Linked DNA regions of Coturnix japonica. The protein of the gene in region 1 interacts with the protein of each later gene in a pairwise test. Links are inferred from orthologs where the notes say so. Each region holds a gene or a part of one and is shown in the gene's direction. Other genes may lie near its edges.

Region 1 (3,747 bases):
CTGTTATAAACAGGGCAGGAAAGGAATTCATAGCTGTACACTGTGGGTTGGGGTTGGTCGTTTAGTTAACAACTTCCCCAGCTCTAAAATGGGAAAAGCCTTCAGAACAAGAGGCGAAGGAGTCCCAATTCTGAATCATAGGCTCCTTAAGGATGGGGAAGAGCTCTGTGATCAAGTCCAACCCAACCCACCCCACTATGCCCACATCCCTCAGTGCCACATCTCCACACTGAACACCTCCATGGATGGTGACCCCATTGCTCCCTGGGCAGCTGCTCCTTCTTTATTGTCCCTAATACCCAACCTGCACCTCCCCTGCTGTGTCTTAAGGCCATACTGTTGCTGTTACAAAGTTCAAGGGCTGAGCCCACCTTGCCACAACCCCCTTTCAGGAGCTGTGAGAGCAATGAGGTCTCTCCCCCAGCCTGACCCATCTCCTTCCCTCAGCTGTTCCCCATAACACTGCGCTCCCACACACAGCTCCATTCCCATCCCTGGACACACTCCATATCCTCCATATCTTCCTCGTCTAACACCTCACAGCCTGACAGCTGAGACAAAAACCCCAACGAGGTTCCCCTCCATGTTGGGATCCACCCCCGGGGCAGGGCGCTGAGGGAGGCGGTGTCCCGGCCGCTCCCGCCTTCCTTCCCTCCTTTGGGCGGCCCCGGGGAGCAGCCCCACGGTGGGAGTCACGGGGCGGGCGGGCCGCTGCCATGGAGCTGCCTGCCGTCAGCCTCAAGGTACGGGGGGGGATATGGGGCAGAGCCTATGTGGGGCTGAGCTGTTGTGGGGCGAGGTGGGTCGGCTGGGAGAAAAGAGTACGGGGGTGGGCGTTGAGGCTGGTATGGTGCCTTGTGTGGAGGCGTGGGGGTGTTTGTGGAGGGAGAAGTGGCTGTTTCTGCCTTTTGTGGAGGGGTTTTTAGTAGGGGTTGTCGCCCAGGTGGGCCCCCCCTCGGCCTTCTACCTCCCAATTCCCCCCTCCATCCCCCAACTGTGATCCTTAATGGGTTTCTGAGGAGGCGAAGTTGGTGCTGGTCAGGGAACTCACCTCAGGAAGGTGACGGCTTTGTGGGCTTGTATAGACCGACAGAAACTGCTGTTCTGTGTTTTAACTTAATTTCTAGGGGGGGAGGGCGTGGAATGAGGGAGGCTGTAAACTTTTGTGCGATGTTTAGTAGAGAAACGGGAAATAAAAGGACTTCGGAAGTTACCCGTTAACTTCAGGAGGAAGCAGCTCCTCACACAGAGGCTGAAATCGGCCCCCTTTGCTCTTCATGTTGCTCGTGAGACTGAAGCCTTTTAGACTCTTTCCCCTGTTTTTCCTCCATTAGTTATACTTTCAGAGCCTTCTAGGGTGATGTGCTGCTTGTTTCCCAGCTTCCCTGTTGGGGTTTTGGGTGCGTTGCTGAAAGCTTTGCAGTTTGGTTGCAGGAGCTAGAAGAAAAGAGATGCTTCATGAATGAACGAGTCACCATGACAACATAAGTAAAATGTTGCATTTCCTCCCTGCTTTTTAGCAAGCATTCTTAAATCTCCTCCTGGGTAAGAGTGATTTTGACCTGGCCAAAGTGTTCTCAGCATTGGGAAGTACCTTTTGTAAAGTACTGGTTAGGGTGGTGTGGTGCTGAAATGGGTTACCCAGAGTAGTTATGGATGCCCCATCCTTGGAGTCATGTTGGATGGGCCCTGAGTTAGTGATTAGCAGCCCTGCCCATGGCAGGGCATTGGATCCAAAAGATCTTTCAGGTTCTCTCCAACCTAAGCCATGCTGCGTTCTGGGATTCAAGGGCTGTAACACAGTGAGTTAATAATTGTCCTGCATCTTTGTGCTGTCTCTGAGTCGTGGCCTACTGCTCTGAAACACAACCCAAAGGTTGGCAAGGTTCTCATTCAGAGAGGGATTGGGAATAACACACTACTTCTATGCATTGGCGTTAACTGGTTACAGTTTCTCTGTGATCAGATGGATAAACCTAATGACAGAAGAAGAAAACTTCCAAAGACCTGCGTGAATGCAGCATTTGTGCCAGATTGTAGCAAAGTCTCAGCCTTGAGGTCCCTCTTTAACCCGCAGGTAGGACTGTAGCATTAATATGGCAGGCCTTGACCTGCAGTAGATGAAGAATTCACTCATGGAGCAGCATCTACTGGCTCAGCTCTGGTAGTAATGCTCAGCAAAGTGTGGAAAGCAGCATCACCTTATTATTGCAGTGAGTGTTTGATGGCTAGGATTGTTGCAATAGCTATTCTGAATCTTGAAATATCAAGTTTGCTTGAGCTTGGAAAAGGCCCTACAATGAATATGCCTGAAATCAGATGTTTTGTTCTCGGGTGTTTTTATGTGCTAGCTCTGGAATCCTAGCATCATTTTGATTGGAAGAGACCTACGTATGTCACCTAGCCCAGCCTCCTGCTCAAAGCAAAGCTAACTTGAAAAGTAGATCAAGTAGATCAACTCAAAGAGTTGGCAACCACTTTGGAGATTATCTAGTGCTGCTCCCCTGCTAAAGCAAGCACCCCAAAGGAGGCTGCAGAGGAAAGCATCCAGGTGGGTTCTGAATACCTCCAGGCAGGCAGAATGAGTTCCTGTACCAAAGAACTCTTCAAAAAAGCAATGTATGCTCTTAGGTATGGATATATCCCCCTGAACAGATGGGAATGAATTCTTCTGTCTCACCAGGAGGCTGCCTGCAAATTATCTCACGTAATGACTGCAGCTTTAAATAATGTTTTTCATTAACACTCCGTTTTCTGTGTGAAAGCATACCGAGACCATCAGCCAATTCCATAGTGCCCTGAAGAGCTGTCAGATAACTCAGACTAATAGCTCGGAAGGAAATGCTTTGTTTTTCTTCCAGCAGCCCCCTGGATTACCAGCCCTTGCTTACCTGACGTTATGCTGGTGATGGAGCCAGCTTCTTAATTTAATAACTGCAATATTGATCTAGACAGCTTAATATATATATATATATAATAAAACCCACTCTGCGTAATTATATTAACTGCTGAGCCTTGAGGGGTCTTGTGAGTGCATAACGTGCAATTAAATACTACCTAATTAAGAATTTCCCTGATGTTGTGATCGTCTCTTGGGTGAATGCTATTTGCATGTCTCCGTTCTTATCCAAGAACATCTTGTATTTTCCTGATTAGCAGTTTCTGCCTGGTCTCTGCGGTGCAATCTGGGAGGAGGGGGAAGCAGCGGGTGGTGCTGGAGCATTTTGTAGGCTTTCATGAGCAATTAAAAAAAATAGTCATTATTAAAAACCTGTTTGAGCAGCGTTTGATGTTCAGGCGGTCTGTGCTGAATGCTCAGCAGATGTGATAGGGTGCTGCAGTGCAACCAGGGCTTTGCCTTATGATAAGATATCTATGTTGTGATATCTTGGCTGGACAGTCCAAGCCATTGCAGCTGCATCGCTCCTTCTGGTTTCACTCACGTCACAGCTTCATGGGTCATTAACTTTCCTGAAGCCACGAGTTCTGTGTGAAGTTAGAGCAGGTGTAGACATTTTGAGTCAATAAATGTGACAGTATTTGGGCACTAGTGTTGTCCCTGGAAGTGAAAAGAGTGGTGTAGCATGGCAGGATTGGGTCTTTAGGTTCCTAGAAGATGACTTCAGGTCTGTTAATATTGGAGCGAGGCAGGTTGGAAGGGGGTAAAGGGGAATTCACAGTGAAAATGCTGGGAGCTGCAGTCATGACAATTCATGGACTTCTTGGTGGTGGGATAGTAGATTGGTC
Region 2 (3,647 bases), on another chromosome or scaffold:
AGAGTATTTAAGTCCTGAAGGTATGTTTTGTGCTATGCCAGACTTGCTGTAACTTACATTGGCTCTTAGAACAATATGACCACATCCATGATATCAGAGCTTGAACACTAAGCCAGCTGTTACAGTCTGAAAGATTAACACAGCAGAAAGGCGATATAGAAATGAAATAGCAAAAGGGACTAGCATGAAATGAGATAATGTTACAAAAGAAAAAGCACTCACCTGTCTCTGAAGATGTAGGCTCACAAGGGAGTGATCTCCGACCAGGGATCTTTCCCCCCCTGGCAGTCAGCCCTTAAACGGGGTCTAAGAGAGGTGCAGCCAGGCTCCACCTCTTCCAGTCTCACAGCTTCATTGCTTTCACCTGTGCTCCCCGGGCTGGCCAGGTCCTTTCCCAGGTGCTCAATCAGTGGTTCAGGCTGGGACTCAGCAGTTCCTATAAACCAGCAGATTGCTTCTTTCCTGGATTAGCACAGCACCTCTCTTTATAACAAGTTAGTTTCTCTTGTAGATCATCTTTTCTGGTAAGCTGAAGAATGTAACTACTGAAAGTGACTTTAGATCCTGGACATCAGAACTCATACACTTTCACATAATATCTAGGAGGCCTATTTGACAGAGTTTAAACTTCATAACCTTGTAGTTATTATTAGCAGGGTTGTTGGGTTTTTTTTTGTCTTTTCCATCATAATCTGAGAGTCATGCTTGCCTGATGTACATTAACTGTTGACTTCTTGTATGCTTTTTTGTGCAGATGATGACAGCAGCTCAAGCCAGTCTCTGGAAAACGATGAGACCAGGTAGAGTCTTGATTCCTCTTTGGTTTTGTTCTGTGTGTTCCAGCAGTGTCCAGAAAGAGAATAGTCATACTCATCTCAATGATGTGGCTCGTGTCTTGTTGCAGTAAGCACAGCCAGTGAGAGAGATTTTTGTATAGCTGATCTATGGTAACGCATTCCTTAACCAGAAGATGGATGTATAAGAACTATGCAGGATGATATTACTACAGCCTGCTTCTCTCTATTTCCTTTTGCAGTTACTACACACCAGAAGAAAAGGAAGACAAGAAAGGACAGGAGAAACAAGCCAGCACAGGGGTAAGCTTGTTATTTAGATGTATGTGGAGTATGGATGCATATTCAAAACACACTTCCAGTTTTATACATGAACAAGACTTTGTGTAATCCCCTAGCAAATTTGCTTGCTAGCTTGACTTCTTTTTGTCTAACTGAGACAGTGTGGAGATGAAAGCTCAGAGGAGGCCTCCTTTGAATTGCACCTGGCACCTGTTCAGACCAAAAAACCATCTGTCTATGATGTGGAAGAAAAGAAATTCCCAAGACCTAAAAAAAGAGAAATCTTTCCTCCGCTCACAGAGGTACCACAATTATCAGTCTGTTGTTCAAATTAGAAAGCTAGAATTAGAACATAGGTTAGTGTGCTCACAGGTTCTTTCCCATTCAATTGCTTGCTTCAGGCCATGGAGAGAGAGATCATGGCTGCGCTGGGCGAAGGTAAAGGGGAGGAGATCATGAGCAGCGCCTTCAGACTCAGTCTCACCCGTGATGACATCCATACACTGAATGAACTTTGCTGGCTAAATGATGAGGTAAAACTAGCTGTGGCACTGTGATGTTCCCATTGTGTATGTCTTTTTAAATGTCCTCAATGCATACAGGTCTGATTGCAGTTATTTGAGGTCTGCAGAACTTATAAACATCTGTCGAGTCTTATTTTAGGTACATAACGGCTGAGTGTTTCTAGAAGCTCCTGTATTTCTTGGGTTGGTCTAGAAGTTAGTCTTCTGGAAGCATTGCTTCTCTGGTTTTGTGCTTTTTGGTTTTTATTTTGGTGAGCAGTCTCTTACATCTCATGATTGCTTTTTACCATGCAGGTCGTTAACTTCTACATGAATCTTCTGGTGGAAAGAGGCAAAAAAGATGACTATCCAACCGTCTATGCTTTTAGTACTTTCTTCTATCCCAAACTTGATTCTGATGGCTACAGAGCAGTGAGAAGATGGACCAGAAACGTGAATCTGTTCAACCAGGACATCATTTTGATTCCTATTCACCTGAGATCACACTGGACCTTGGTGGTGAGTCATGCTTTTATTTCAATTGAAGAATTAAGCAGGTAGAAAGCAAGCAAGCAAGAAATGTCGGCCAGCTTTTGTTCTGTTTGCTGCATAGGCTTGTGGGGTGTCTCATGGTTACTTTCCATTAACAGGTTGTCGATGTCAGAAAGAAAACTATCACCTACTTTGACTCGTTTGGAAAAAAAGGAAACAAGATTTGTGAGACTGTACTGTAAGTAACTGCTCGCTCAGTGCTTTTGCACTGTGAGCTCAGAGAAGGCTTTTAGGTTTCTGTATCTGTAACACAACTGGAAGCCTTTGCTTTGTTTGTAGCTAGGGAATAGAAACCGTTCTCACATCACCTCCTCCATGTGTGATACATGTCTGGGTTTCCAGTATGTGCATGTGCAAAGCATCACCATGAAGTGTATGCAGACTTAAAGTTTGAATTGCTCCTCCAAATGCCTTATGGCACTAAATATCCACTGATGTTTTATTGTCCAGCCATTTGGCTTCCTGTGGTCTTTTCAGCATCTCTTTTTTGTCAGCCTAAAATACAGAGGTGAAGAGTTGTTTTATTTTGTTTTAAACAGCCAATACCTGCAAGAAGAAAGCTGGGAGAAACAAAAAGTCAAGCTGTCATCTTCAGAGTGGACTCTTCGCAGCATGGAGCCTCATGTATGTGAGCACTACCGGGATCTGAAATGTGAACCCCTAACTCCTCATTACAAAGGCCTTAATGCTTTCTTACTTAGTCTAAGCTTTAAAGGGGTGTGAAGGTGTGGTTCACTGGGTGTACTCCTTGTGTGTGGGGATGGGCTGTGCATGTTGGTTCCACAAGAAAATGTGGTGGTGGTGGTGGGTGGTGCTGCCTCCAAGTCGCTTTTCTTTTAAGATGGAAAAAATTCTCCACCTTCTTTCCATTCTTTAGGAAATTCCTCAGCAATCAAATGGAAGTGACTGCGGAGTTTTTATGTGCAAATACGCAGATTACGTCTCCAGAGACAAACCCTTCACCTTCACTCAGGTGAGCCAAAGTTAGAGTTTGCCTTAAGCTGTTGTTAATAGTCAAATAAACGTGGTTGTGTTTCATCCCTGCAGCACCAAAGCGGGGGTGAGACATAGCAGTCCACGCTGTACTCACAGTGGCCGCGGTGACGGTGCTTAAAATGAACTTGGTGTGAAAGAACACGGTATGTATTTTCTGTCAATTTCTGCTATCATATTTAATGGGTTTGTTCTCTTCTTCTTTTCAGGAAAACATGCCTTACTTCCGCAAGAGGATGGTGTGGGAAATAATCCACCAGCAGCTGCTGTGAGACGTGAAGCGTTACGAGTATCGCCGCAGATGACCTCGGAGCCACTAACTTATATTTTGTCATATTATTTATTTCTGCGATGCCTTATTGAACCAGGCCGCAGCCACTTGAAAATGTTCCTGTTTTAAGCTATAAAGTATTGTTTAACTGTTTTTTCCTCAATTTCGGAGACAGTGCCTCTCTTTGAAATGAGCTGATGTGCCTTGAGTGAAAGTCTTTGAGAGTTTGCTGGGACTTCACCAGGGGAGTGG
Region 3 (3,747 bases), on another chromosome or scaffold:
GAGACCGTGGTCCTTGGCTCCCAAAGCAAGAAGGGACAGAAAGTCCCTGAAAGTCCGTAAGAGCAACCTTGCCTGGGAAGGTCAGCACATTTGGCATGTTCTACGCAGCTCAAAACAAGCTGTGCTTCAGAGGAGGGAGGTCTTGCTCTCCTGTGCCATGGTCACACCTTTGCTCTCACACTCGGTACATGCAGGAGGATCCTGAGAGGAAGCACAGTCTGACATCTTCTGCATGGGACTCGGTGGGGTGAAGGAGAGCATGGGGAGCAGGGCTGGAATCACCTGACACAGCACCACTGGTTCAAAGCCCACCCTGCTGTACATCTCGGAGCAGTTTGATACCATTTGTACTGCAACAGGGGTTCGCCACGTGTAGCTGTGAATGCTTTGATCCAGACTTTGGTGTTTCAGGGACTGGGCTTATCAGTGCACCTGTTCAGAGAACTGCTGCAAGGAGCAAAGTGTTTATGTGGCAACCCGGGGAGGAATCTGAATGGAGAGTTCAAAAATCAGTGTTGGTTCTGGTACAAGGTTAAGGGTAGGGAATATGGATATAGGAATAGGGAATCTAAAGGCTGCCTCTGATGTGCCATATAGCTCAGAGTCTAAGCAGATGATGAGGAGAAAAAAAAGAGGATGAGCAATATACTAAGCATTTTTAAATGATGACTCAAAGCTATAGACTCTATAGGAGATCGGAAAGGACTGTAAGTAAAATGCAAATGTGGCAAATGTGCAATAAGGTGCGATTGATGAGGTTTAACTTTGTCAAATGCCAAGTAAGAAATTAAAGAGATATTATGAAGCCCCAGATTGACTGTAGCAACTCGGGGAAGGGTATGAATATCACACAGATCTGGGCTCTGTGAGTGGATGCAGGTTAAAAAAGAGCACACACAAAACATCAGCATGCAGAAGGGAGAAGAGGAGAATAATATGGAAAATATGATAATGCTATTATGTAAATCAGCAGCATGGCCTCTCTGGGAATACTGTCTGCAGTTCACTCAAGCCTTTCTCGGAAAGGGCTGATTAGGGGCATGGCCAAGTCGCTCACAAAGAGAGATCAAAATGATTGGGGCTGTTTATCTCGGAAAGGAAATGAACAAGAGGAGGTCGGCACAGACCGAGCCAGACCGGAGCTTCTGGTTTTCTTCCCATTCAGTGCTATCACTGTCATATCTGTTGTCGTTAAGGACAGTGCAAAGTGATGCGGCTCTCCTCTGTCACACACAGCTTTTCTCTGGCAGTGTTGATCAGTGGAGCAGGCTGCCCTGGGGGTGCTGTTGTGGCAGACGATTGAAGGACACAGCCCGTGCCATTCATTCCCAGTCTCAACTGGGAGGAGAACTGGGTGTGTGTGCTCCTCCCGGCCGGCAGGGGGCGCACTGCCGGCGCGTTGTGTCCCTTCCCGCTCCCCGTACGTCGGAGCCCCGCCGCCAGGGGGTAGCAGCGTTTCGCCGCCATCTCCTCCCGTTCAGGCCGGAAGTCCTCCGCGCGGAGAGCGTTAGCGGCCTCGTCCCGGCCGCTCTGGGATTGGCTGGTCGTGGGGTCACGACCCGGAGGCGGATCGGCCATGTTGCTGGGTGACCCCGCGAGCGGCGGCTGTAGGATGGGGGTGCCGTGAGGCCCCGGGTGTTTCTCACGGCGCTTCCCGCTGCCTGCGGGAGGACCAGGCCGCGGGGTCCCGCTGGGTCCGTCGTAGCCGAGCTCGCGGCCCCGGCAGCTCCGGAACATCCCTCCGGGAAGGGAGCAGCGGCCCCAGCCTCCCCCTCTTTCGGTCGGCCGGCCGTTCCCCATGGCAGCGTGGTCCCGGCAGGCCGTCCTGACCCTTTACCGGGCTCTGCTGCGCGAGGGCCGCGGGCTGCGTTACACTGACCGGGATTTCTACTTGGCTTCCATCCGCCGGGAGTTTCGCAAGAACCGGGGGCTGCAGCGGCTGGAGGACAAGGAGAGGCAGCTGGAGAAGGGGCAGGCCTTCCTGCAGAGCAAGCTGGGGGGGCTGGTGTAATAGCCCCCCCCCCCCCCCCCCCAAACACACACTCTTCTTTCTAAAACACCCTCTTACCTGTCACGGCACGATGGCTGCTTCCTGCCCGCTGCTACCTTGAAACTGGCCAGAAGGTGCCTCCACAGCCGCACCAGGAGGGCTCTCCTCTCTACAAATGCTTTAGGTCGCAGGTAGGTCCCTTATGCTGATGTAACTCTGATCAGATGCAGTAGGAATGTTAGTTTTTAAATAGTAACTTGGCTTTAGAAAAGACAAATTCAGGCAGGTTCTGCCCCTTCAGCTGTTTTTGCCTCAGAATTGTGATCTTGAATCAGTTTGGGAGAACATTAACATTTCTGTTATATGGGACTTACATGAAAACCAAACCCAGCAGCCTTGAGTGCAGGAGTAACTATCAGGTGGAAGCGAGGAGTTGTTCCCTTTGTGGTGCACTGTGGTTTGCAGTGCTGACCCCTGGATGTTTTTGAAACACCTGGTGCCAGCCACTGTCTGAGAGTGGACACTCTGAAGCTCTTGATATTTTATCAAAGACAAGAGTTTGGCAGTCCATGCAGCCATATCCATGAGCGAAGTTGCAGGCCTTAGATGGAGGATGAGAGGATAAATTGGTGTAGAATGGGTTTGCTTTGGCTAAGAAGCATCAGTTAGAGTTGCCCTGTTGTGACCCATTTGTTTGATGCTCCCTTCCAGGTGAGATGGCGGGCGCTGGGCCGCGCAAAGGCAAAAAGGACGACAATGGCATTGGCACCGCCATCGACTTTGTGCTGTCCAACGCACGGCTTGTGTTGGGCGTGGGTGGAGCTGCCATGCTGGGCATTGCCACGCTGGCTGTCAAACGGGTGAGCTGATGATGTGGGGAGGGAAGAGAAAAGACATGGGATGTTGGCACTAGATGGGGGAAGAAACACAAAAACACCGGGCTCTTGTCAACTCAAACTGTGCTTGTTGATGTTCCTTTAGATGTATGATCGTGCAATCAGTGCTCCCAGCAGCCCCACTCGCTTGAACCAGTCAGGAAAGAGAAGCTGGGAAGAGCCAAATTGGTTGGGATCCTCCTCTCGCTTACTGAGCCAGGACATGAAGACTAACCTCAGCCGCTCCCTGCAGACCCTTCCCACCGACAGTTCGGCCACCGACACAGGTACAGAGCAGTACGGCATTTCCATGTTGCAGAATCATTTTGGCCTGTCAACCCTGTTAATCCTTTAAAGAAACACTGGAAGAGGAGAATGCTCTCTCTAGCCTAGTATTTTGATGCTGTTGTTTGAAGTTGATCTATTGTTAGCTTCCAGGATTAGAAGTCAGATTTGAGACCTTGAGTAATAGTCATCTCTATTGGCATTTGTCATTTCCTTTATTTCACAGACTTGAATTTTATTCTCCTTCAGACTTTTCTTTGACACTTTGTTGCTTTTCTTTGGGCCTTTCCAATTCTTTTGCCTCTTTTAAGAAAATACTTAAGCAGAGAGTCACAGAAGCCTTAGAGTTGGAAGGGATCTCTGGAGGCCATCTAGTCCAACTCCCCTGCAATTAACAGGGACAACACAGATAGATCAGGTTGCCCAGGGCCTTATCCAGTCTGACCTTGAAGGTCTCCACAGATGGGGCATCAACCACGTCACTACATAACCTGTTCCACTGCCTTACCACCCTCACTGTAAAAGATTGTTTCCTCTTATCTAACCTAAATCTCCCTGCTTTAAGCTTGACTGTACTAGTCATTTATAACATTATTT

Evidence for each region.
Region 2: the proteins of AGTRAP (region 1) and SENP2 interact in binary tests that used the Homo sapiens proteins (3 or more experiments, as listed by UniProt). The two-hybrid records come from large-scale screens. The link is inferred for Coturnix japonica from reciprocal best matches to the Homo sapiens genes AGTRAP and SENP2.
Region 3: the proteins of AGTRAP (region 1) and MIEF1 interact in binary tests that used the Homo sapiens proteins (3 or more experiments, as listed by UniProt). The two-hybrid records come from large-scale screens. The link is inferred for Coturnix japonica from reciprocal best matches to the Homo sapiens genes AGTRAP and MIEF1.

Annotation. Positions count from the first base shown.
Region 1 is NC_029536.1:4,903,908-4,907,654, reverse strand, and holds the start of AGTRAP (type-1 angiotensin II receptor-associated protein), read left to right. Parts: upstream 1-874; 5' UTR 875-1,966; coding exon 1,967-2,077; intron 2,078-2,351; exon of another isoform or gene 2,352-2,551; intron 2,552-3,747. UniProt on the Homo sapiens protein: Appears to be a negative regulator of type-1 angiotensin II receptor-mediated signaling by regulating receptor internalization as well as mechanism of receptor desensitization such as phosphorylation.
Region 2 is NC_029524.1:3,359,019-3,362,665, reverse strand, and holds part of SENP2 (sentrin-specific protease 2), read left to right. Parts: intron 1-754; coding exon 755-800; intron 801-1,036; coding exon 1,037-1,097; intron 1,098-1,237; coding exon 1,238-1,378; intron 1,379-1,477; coding exon 1,478-1,609; intron 1,610-1,894; coding exon 1,895-2,098; intron 2,099-2,229; coding exon 2,230-2,309; intron 2,310-2,670; coding exon 2,671-2,755; intron 2,756-3,008; coding exon 3,009-3,104; intron 3,105-3,333; coding exon 3,334-3,396; 3' UTR 3,397-3,647. UniProt on the Homo sapiens protein: Protease that catalyzes two essential functions in the SUMO pathway.
Region 3 is NC_029516.1:46,186,700-46,190,446, reverse strand, and holds the start of MIEF1 (mitochondrial dynamics protein MID51), read left to right. Parts: upstream 1-1,498; 5' UTR 1,499-2,181; intron 2,182-2,701; 5' UTR 2,702-2,706; coding exon 2,707-2,850; intron 2,851-2,971; coding exon 2,972-3,152; intron 3,153-3,747. UniProt on the Homo sapiens protein: Mitochondrial outer membrane protein which regulates mitochondrial fission/fusion dynamics.